3 separate regions of the Mus musculus genome follow, and regions 2 and 3 are each reported to be linked to region 1. Evidence: microRNA targets listed by miRTarBase, many of them from high-throughput screens and not tested one by one. Region 1 holds a microRNA gene; each other region holds the end of a gene's coding sequence.
The links. Region 1 holds the annotated microRNA mmu-miR-30a-5p (UGUAAACAUCCUCGACUGGAAG, at 1,000-1,021, shown strand). A microRNA usually pairs through its seed, bases 2 to 8, with sites in the 3' UTR of a target mRNA and lowers its output. Matches are read on the target gene's strand: a 7mer-m8 pairs with bases 2 to 8, a 7mer-A1 pairs with bases 2 to 7 and ends in A, and an 8mer does both.

Region 2: miRTarBase lists Mesd as a target of mmu-miR-30a-5p. Seed matches in the 3' UTR shown: 7mer-A1 at 888-894.
Region 3: miRTarBase lists Snai1 as a target of mmu-miR-30a-5p. Seed matches in the 3' UTR shown: 8mer at 1,208-1,215.

What each region holds. Positions count from the first base shown.
Region 1 is chr1:23,271,275-23,274,622 of GRCm38, forward strand. It overlaps Mir30a (microRNA 30a), which reads left to right and starts at 995; the gene lies at 995-1,065.
Region 2 is chr7:83,897,849-83,900,848 of GRCm38, reverse strand. It overlaps Mesd (mesoderm development LRP chaperone), which reads right to left. Exons shown (of 3, transcript NM_023403.4): 3 at 538-3,000. The coding sequence ends at 2,844. Among named protein-coding and RNA genes, the nearest start is that of Mesd, 7.1 kb to the right of the region's middle.
Region 3 is chr2:167,541,506-167,544,853 of GRCm38, forward strand. Snai1 (snail family zinc finger 1) reads left to right here. Exons shown (of 3, transcript NM_011427.3): 3 at 394-1,309. The coding sequence ends at 578. Among named protein-coding and RNA genes, the nearest start is that of Snai1, 5.0 kb to the left of the region's middle.

The DNA.
Region 1 (3,348 bases):
ACTTTCTTAACCATAACGGGATAGAACTGTCCCTTGCTTTGAAAAAGAAATTTATGGAGCTCATCACATTTGTTAGTTTCCACAAACATGAAGCTCTCTGTGGGGATTTTTTTTTTTAATCATAAAATCCCTAAGGCGTTGGCAACTAAAATTGTGGTAACTTCATCTAAAACCAAATCTCAGGGGAAGGCACACCCACTTCTCTGTACCAGCTTAATCTTTCACTAGACTCAGAAGGGTTTTGAATTACTTCAGGAAAAGTAGTGACTGATAGAGCTTAACCTTCCGTTTTCCTCATTTATTTTCATTAGAGAATGGGAGTGGAATTCAGAACATTCAGATGTGGAGTTAATGTGCGTCACTGCTGCCAGCCCCTGCTGCCAGCGATAGGTTCTGTGTTTTTCCAGTGGGAAACTCTGATCCGCAGAGATGCATGCAAACCTGCACCTCCTTGCTCTTTTCTGCTTTCCTCCTGATTGTTGCTTACTCTTTGGAACATCAGCTGACTGTACAGAGCCTCTGTGGAAGCAGATTTCAGAACAAAGGTGATCTGTAAAAGCAGCACGTAAGTCTTGGTTCTGTCTGTTTCCTGTTCTTATTTGATAGTTTTAAGCTTCCCTACTTTGGTGTTTATGTTGAATGCTCTGTACATAATAGAAGCATTTTCCTTGTTAAATTTTCTCAAAGGATTTCGATAAACTTACTCATGTTCTAGTCCTAGTAAGTCACTTGCATGATTGTTTCTTATGGCCAACAGTAATGGGTGAAAGCTATTTATTCGTGTTTTCATAAATGTGTTTGACACTTAGTAGATGAATAATAAATGTTTCTGAAACATATAAACTATATCTTACATAAACTTTAGTTATATTTCTAGGGCATCGAGGCTTTGCAGTTTACAGAATGTTGCCTGTACATTTCAGAAACTCCCGCAGAGCACTTCTCAGGTCAGTAAGACAGAATGCTGAAGAAGGCATATCAACGTTGACAGTGAGCGACTGTAAACATCCTCGACTGGAAGCTGTGAAGCCACAAATGGGCTTTCAGTCGGATGTTTGCAGCTGCCTACTGCCTCCAACTTCAAGGAGTAATTATCTTGTTGGCTGAAACCAATACCTTGCTTTCTCTTTGATTTATTTTTACAAAGCTTGGGTGGAAAAGATAAATTAAACAACTTCAAAACCACAGAAGTGTTCTTCCTGTGCATAGAATATGCAATATATGTACTCAAAAAATATAACAGTATTTTTAAGCTAAGCAAAGAAATATATTATGTATTTTTTTTAAACAAATAAGACAGTGCTTCAAAAATTATTTTAAAAAGTAGGCTCTTTAATCTACTTTTATTTATCAAATCTCAGAGTAGGTTTTTTTTTTTTTAGGTCAATTCACACACACCAAAAACATCGTGTTAATGTAACTAAATTATTTGAAAAGAGAGGAAGTAAAATCCAAAGTAGAGCATTAATTCATGTTTCATAGTGCTTGAATTAAACCACCTACCCCTTCTTGGTTTAGTATTTCATGAAGTAATGATTTTCACCTTAATATAGTATCTAAAACATTGCCTCAGGTAACTTGAAAAGTATATTTGCTTTCTTTTGCTTGATCTACTATAAAGTCTTGATTGAGATTTTCCTTTTAACTAAACTGATAAAGTAACTCATCTCCCTTTAAAATAGTACACCAAATTCTATTCTTTATGAAGACAATTTCAGAATGGGAAGCCTAGCACAGATCCCTGAAAGACATAGTTTCTAATTTGCCTTTTTTGTTAGTCTGTATTTTTCTTATGGCTTAATGTGAATGTTCATTTAAATTATAGGAATGAGACACCTTAAAAAGAGAAATAGACAGCATCTTTACCTTGTAAAGCACACTCTTTGAAACAGCAGTTTCATTACTGTAGAAATGACAGCTTCTATTCTCCCAGTTAATATCATTAGTCTTACTAACAGGAGTTCATACTGAAAGAGTATTCCATTCCATATGTGCTGGCCATGCTGATGGCTGGAAAGATAGGTGACTAGAAGTCAGTTTTTCTCATACATAAAGACACCAAGTGAGAAAACTCAATTAGTCATGCCAGGCATGAGGAGTTGGTTGACTAACACTGAAGCCCCAGGGTCTGGAACTGAGCAACATTGCTTTAATAGGTAAACTGAAAACATTTAGTGTAAGTAACCCAGCTGTGTCCCAGGGAAACTAGCAGTATTTCCCAGGGAACGGCTATAAGTTTGAAGAAATTATTTGACCTTCACTTCCTTTATATTTACCCCTATGTTGTCTCACACTTCTTTCCTTGGTTTGTTGACTTCTAAATTTTCCACTGTCCACTAACTACTCTTTGGTTATTTCTTTTACATACTTACTGGAATTTTTTTAACTTGTAAAATTTGCTTCATTCTTAGATGTAAACCTCTATTAATTATTTTGGTTAGTTTTGAAATTAATACCTGTTATGTCTTGTGCTCCTCAATTCCACAGTAATAATCTAAAATACTGTTTTACAATAACAATAATGTGCTATTTATAGCTGAAATACGATCTGGATTTTTTACCCCCATTTTATTAAAAATAAACTTCAGTGTAAAACAGCAGTATTACATTATAAAATTATATTGTCAAAGTATTGTGTACTTAAGATTGAGTATCATTTTATATAAATCAACTATTACTCATTATTTTTACATGTATTTTCTTTAATTTAAAATCACATCCATATCTGCACAATAAAGCACCTTACATGAACTACAACATAAAACTGTTCCTCTTCTTGCTCCCCCTTTTCCTTTCATGTTGGGCCCTGTGCTTGCTCGGCAATGGTTCTTAAACTAAGTACATGCCCAGAGTTTTCAAGTGGCCTGCAGCAGGTCAGTTACTGAAAATAAAACACGTCCTCGGTGCTGGAGAAATAAACCTAAGTGTTCATTTCTTCAAAACCAGTAATGTTTTAAAAGTGAGCAGCATACCTAAATAGCCTTAAGTAGTGTAAATATAGTTTTTTATTTGTAATTGTCCAAAATAGAAATTGCGACAGCCTTTGAAAGGAGATTTCTGAAGGAGGTATATAAGATCTGAAAGTGGCATTGGTGATTGATTTAAATGATACATTTTTCCTGACCTTAGAACTCTAGCTTGAACCTGAACTTAAGTTTATGGTGATGTCGTCATAAATAGCATACATGTGTAAGTCCTTTGCTCTCTGAGAAGACAGCTGCAAGCTGTGAGGGTTGTGATGGCTAGCAAACAGATTTCTTATCTAGACCTGTGGACACCATCTCTGCCTGCTTTGATAGTAGATTGTGTTGTTTTCTTTTGCGAAGGTATTACCTAAATGTTACCATC
Region 2 (3,000 bases), not on the chromosome of region 1:
TTGCATGAGGTCTGCTCAGAAACGATTTCCAGTGGTGGAGCTCCCAGGAGCCCTGAGGTAGCTTCCCCATGGACAGATGGCTGGCCAAGGAGCAGACTGTCCTCACTTGAAAGAGAGCTAGAAGCCAGTGGTCCCAGGGGACACTGGACTGAAGCAGTTGTGCTGTCCAGATGCCCCTGCAGTTGCTGTAACAGGGGCCGTCCTCCTGAGAACAGGAGACTACAGTGCAATGATGGCAGTGTTAGCCTTCCCTGCTGGTAATTTTATGGAGGAGGCTAAGAGGGCTCCTCTGAAGAAAAGGCCATACACCAAGAATTGTGACTAGTTTCTTTTGCATTTAGTCCTTTTTGTTTTGGGGGTTATTTTGGGGGGGGGGGAGCATGGGGAGCGTGAGTTTCAGACGTAGCTGAGGCTATCCTGCAACTAAGTAACCTGGCCTGGCTGATCCTCCCATCTCTCCCTCCCAAACACTGGGATTACAGGCATTCAACACCATACCTGCTTTTCCTCCTTAGTACCACTATAAGGAATCTGTAGTCTGGGTACAAGTGACTTTAATAGACTTTCATTCTACTTGATTTGACTCATAAAAAGCAGCAGTAGGGCCTCCTGGCTTCTTGTGCTTTAGAAACTCGAACCCAAGAATTTGAAGAAATGTGACAACACGAGGCAGTTTAGGGACTGTCAAAAATCAGGGAGGGTAAATCGATCAATCTGGAGTTCAAATTCTTGAACTGTAATAAAAGGAGGCTTAATGTGCCAATTTCGTTTCTAGTAGCAAATAAGTGTTTGGAGAGGAGAATCTGTTTATCCCAGCTCAGAATACACAGCCAGAAATCAGAAACAGCAGAAAGCATGAACCGAAGGCTGCTTCAAGCCTCTCTGCCTGTAAACCCGAGAGACTGACTAAAGGCCTGAGTCCGGAGAAGCTCTCCTGTCAGTACTACGCAAAATCCCTGAGGCACTCAAAATTCCAACAGCCTCCTAGAGTCCTCACTCCCCAGTCCAGACTCCTCAGGGGCCTCCAAGAGCACCCTTGTCTACTACTTCTAGCCTCAGGGCCTTTGCAAAGGGAACTCCCTTGACCTCCCAACAAAGCTCTGCCCATTCAGTTCACTGCATTATGCATTTCTTCCTTTCTCCTCACAGTCAGTCATTCCTGCCATGCCTGCACTGTCCTCAGAACCCACCAGTGACAACTACATCACAGGTGATGCATGAACCTGGTGAAGAGGCTGCACACCACACTCAAAGCCATGACAGTCCCGTGTCAGCATCATGAAGGCTTCCAGAAGGAAACGGCAGCCCTGAGAAAAGAGCATCATGGCTAGACATGACAGTAGCCAATCAACTGCCCCATGTGAAAACAGAAAAACCCCAGGAACGGGGCTTGTTTCAGATTTGCTGGGCCCACAGATACCAAAAGGATGAGTGCCCTGTCCCAGCTTCTCCTAGATTGGCAGCACCCTCAAACAGGACAGCAGCAGATCATCACAAGTCACAAGGTGCGAGGACCAAAAAAAGCTTCTTTTTGAAGAGGCTCAGCAGGTTGTGTCCAGGACGCCCTGAGCTGGGGAGGGAGGTGTGGCTTGGTAAGAGAAACATGAACGGAAACCAACTGGAGGACAGAATATACCCATCACTGGAGGACAGAATATACCTATCACTGGAAGCTGGTAATTGTACTTTATTTTTGAAAAACCAATGACCAACAGTAGCTTCACTGGGACAAAGTACTGGCAGCAGGGTAGGGCAATTCTTCACACTGTGACACTCTTAACAGTGACAATTTCTAGCCGGGTACGTGTACATGTACTATTTCGAATTTCAAACCACAACTGAGGTTTTAAAAGAATGTGAGTTCTTAAAAATGGCATCCTCATAGAAATGTTCTTTTAGCGAAGCTTCAACCTATGAACAGCAGAAACAGATGTGAACAGCAGCACATCATGAGAGTACCATACAAAAGCACAAGTTTAGGCACTTCATCAAAGGAAACCGCTTAGAAATACTGTAGATGAGGTCCACTCCTATGCAAGACTCTGCTGGTCCCTCCTCGCCAACTTTATAGTTGTTGGGCTATGCAGAACGTGGGCCCTCAGTGGAAGCATCCTTCTTTCCTCACACGATGAACAAGCGCATTCCCTCTTCAACTCCAGGAGACGGGGAGACAAAGATTCCCCAGAACCGATGAGAAGTTCTGGACGGCACTGTCGTGAATCTGCCCACTCTGCATAACGAGTTTGCTGTCCAGATCCTGGGCGCACAGCACTGCTCATACGGCACAGTTATCTTCACTCACTGAACACAGCACTGCTCATACGACACAGTTATCTTCACTCACTGAACACAGCACTGCTCATACGGCACAGTTATCTTCACTCACTGAACACAGCACTGCCCATACGGCACAGTTATCTTCACTCACTGAACAATCAATACCCGCGCTTCAGTCAAGTTGAAGCTTCTCAAGGCTTGTCTGACTTGAGCTTGTAATACACAGATACAACAGGCCATGGGACCACAGCAGGTGCACTGAGGAGGGAGTGGTACTCTGGGGGTGTCATGGACTCAAGAGAAATAAAAGGTACAAAACATCAAGTTTCCAAAGTCAGGTGAAGCCACAGTAGACATGACTTGCCAGTCCACTACCAATCACAAATCCTGCCTTCACATGGGAAGCCTTTTATACGGTAACTGTGATATTGACCAGATGGTCATACACAGACCATTTCTAGAGGACATGAGAATGTCATCTGCTATGCAGTTTCCTGCACCACCTGCCCCACCAGTCTGCGAGGGGCTATCTGGTCCTGCCTACCTGGCGGGAAGCTTGCCACCTGCTAAAGGTCTTCTCTTCTGCTCCCAGCTCGATTGTCTTCCTTGGAAGCACGTGGTTTGGGATCTCCCTCCTTCTTTTTAGCCTTCTCTGGCTTTGTTTTATTTTTCTCCTTGCTTCCTCCTCCTTTGCCAGGATACATCTGTCCCTCTAGAGTGACT
Region 3 (3,348 bases), not on the chromosome of region 1:
GTCCCAGACAAAGTAAATCAAAGTAAATTCAAGGCTGGTAATAGGAAGTCCAGTCGCAGCTCCCCTGCCTGAGGCAGTGACTACAACCCGGGCTATGGAGGTATGGTGGGTGACCTAGAGCCTGCTGCGTACCTCTGTGCCTCAGTTTCCCCACCTCTAATAGGACTGCAGAAGGGACAGATGACAGGTCAATCAGAAGTGTTCAGTGCCTGCCAGGTGGGAAGGACTTTGTTTCAGTGAGCCCCGCCTGGAGTTTGGAGACTCAGCAGTCTGGTGGTGTTCAGGGCTGCACAGCAGGAAGCCCAGAGACCCGCATCCAGTGCAGGTCTGGCTGTGCTTGGGCTGACCGGGCCCTGTCCAGGCCTTCCTAACCCTGCTGGTATCTCTCCCCAGGTGAGAAGCCATTCTCCTGCTCCCACTGCAACCGTGCTTTTGCTGACCGCTCCAACCTGCGTGCCCACCTCCAAACCCACTCGGATGTGAAGAGATACCAGTGCCAGGCCTGTGCCCGAACCTTCTCCCGCATGTCCTTGCTCCACAAGCACCAAGAGTCTGGCTGCTCCGGAGGCCCTCGCTGACCCTGCTACCTCCCCATCCTCGCTGGCATCTTCCCGGAGCTCACCCTCCTCCTCACTGCCAGGACTCCTTCCAGCCTTGGTCCGGGGACCTGTGGCGTCCATGTCTGGACCTGGTTCCTGCTTGGCTCTCTTGGTGGCCTTTGCCGCAGGTGGCTGATGGAGTGCCTTTGTACCCGCCCAGAGCCTCCTACCCCTCAGTATTCATGAGGTGTAGCCTCTGGACACAGCTGCTTCGAGCCATAGAACTAAAGCCAACCCACTGGCTGGGAAGCTTGAACCCCGCTCAGGGGACCCCACTTCCCTACCTCCCTCAAGGACCCTTCAGGCCACCTTCTTTGAGGTACAACAGACTATGCAATAGTTCCCCTCCCCCCCACCCCGTCCAGCTGTAACCATGCCTCAGCAGGGTGGTTACTGGACACATGTCCAGGTGCCCCTGGGCCTGGGCAACTGTTTCAGCCCCCGCCCCCATTTGTCCTGGTGACACCTGTTTCACAGCAGTTTAACTGTCTCAGAAGGGACCATGAATAATGGCCATCACTTGTTAGGGGCCAAGTGGGGTGCTTCAGCCTGGCCAATGTGTCTCCCAGAACTATTTTGGGGCCCAACAGGTGGCCCCGGGAGAAAGATGTTTACATTTTAAAGGTATTTATATTGTAAGCAGCATTTTGTATAGTTAATATGTACAGTTTATTGATATTCAATAAAATGGTTAATTTATATACTAAAAAGTGCTCAGTGTTGGGGTGGGGGCACCATAAAGGGACTTCCAGGAGGGAGGGGCAGGGCCTTAAGTCTTGTGCTTTGGAGTTCTAACTAGTCGTGAACTTTGGGGCCTGGGCTGCCTGGCCTGGTATCTGTCCCACTCTGGTACAGTGCAAGCTTCCTGAACTCTTAGTTCTTCGGGCTCTCTTGGGAAGGTGCTTTGTGGGGCTTAGCCACAGCCTGGCCAGGAGCTCTGGCTCCACCATAGCAGGTCTTTGGGGCAGAGCTAGCTGCCCCTCCCAGCTGAAGGGAGGATGTCTTTCCTGTTCCCAAGCGCCTCCCTGTCAGGCAGGCCCACACCTCTGTCTGGCTGCTGGGTACCAAATGGTCTTTGATGCAAGGAAATGGGCTGGCTGGAGCCAGGAGGGTGAGAAGCCAGGCCAAAGGGTAGGGGTCATACAGCTTCCTGCTTGGAGGACCAGGGCTGGAGCAATTTACCTCAGGCTAGTTGGTGCTGGTGACCTCAACTCTGAGGGCCTCCTGGGGCTCGAGAGAAAATGAGTGTCCTTTCTAAGCACAAAAGGTGATGAAGGTGCCAGTTTCCTGTGGGGAGCTGAGCAGGCGTCGGCTGGGAGCTTCAGCCAGCCCAGCTCCAACCCGGCTGGGGGGTGGGGAGCTTCCAGCTCCAAAGGAGAGATGAGTCTTCTAAACAGGAAATGGTGACCCGCAGGCGGGAACAGCCTAATGACTTACAGCTTTCCTCCCAAAAGGAAAAAAAAAAGTCTCTAACAATCGCCAAATTGTGGCAGGCCTCCCTGAAGGGGAGGTTGGTGAGGTGGTATTGGGGGCTGGGCATCAACGAGCTGAAGGCCTACTGTGTCCCCAGGAGGTTCCTCCACATAGGTTGAACAGTGAGTGACTTCACCCCGGGCCTGGAGGGATGGGATGGGCCTCCAGGACCAGACTCAGCGCTGAGGGCCTGGCCCCAGGTCTAGTGCCTAGGACTTGGTCAGCCTGGTTCTGAGCGTGCTGGGAGTCAGGTAGGCCTGGCTCCTGGCCCTGACTCTCACCTCTCGCTGCCAGAAGCAAGCAAGAGTCTCTCTGCTCTCGGCCCCAGTTTCTGCCTCTAGAAATCCGAGGCAACAGTGCCTGTCTCTGGAGAGGCTGTGAGGAAACATTCCTTCAGTCATTCAGTGGGTACTGTGAGCCGGGGTGTGCCAGTCCCTGTGAAGAGTCACTGTGCTCAGGAACTCTGTTCTAGTCGGGGAGACAGAAAACAAACAAGCAATTAAACACACTGCTCGCCTGCAGCAGTGCCAGGATGGAATGAGAGGCCGGGAAGACTTGAGAGCAGCAGGCAGGGTTCCCACCAAGGCATCCAGAGCCCTCGGGAGGGTTGACATTCCAGAGAGGGAGGAGGAGGATGGGAAGGATGGAGGTGGAGGAAGAGGGATGGGAGAATCCTGGGGGAGGGGAAGTAGGCTGTGGGGCTGGGAGAAGCTGTCCTGAGAAAGACCATGTGGCTGGGGGCACTAGAAAGCCAGGAGGAGAGGGAGATCAGGGCCTCTCTGGAACCTCAGCCCAGAATGCAGCCAAGGGGCTTAGAGACAGCAGCTGGGACCAAGGTCCCATAGGCCGCCTGGCAGGGCAGAGACTAGAGCTAGGAGAAGGAATGGAGGTGGCATAGCAGGTGACAAAGGGCTCGGGCCAGGGCTATGGTGGCTGGGTAGTTTACTGCCCACCCAGCCTGGGGCCTTCCTCGCTTCCTTGGGACTGGTCCTGGACCCCAGTAAATGGGAGAGAGGACACAGCTGTCCCAGAAGGAACCTCTCTAAGCCTGGGGCCGAGTAGACAGACAGACAGCCTTCTGTGGGAAGAACTGGGGTGGGGACTGCAAAGGGTTATTCACAGAAATGTGCAGCTTTTGACAACGTGAGGAGAAAAGGCTGTCTCTAGGAGAAGGCAGGCAGCCAAACTAGCCAAGGAGAAGTGAGAGAATCAAGGGTGGAGGCGGGAGGGGAGGCCTTCTTTGAGTTTTAGATTTGTTTGTTTTTGAGACAGGGTC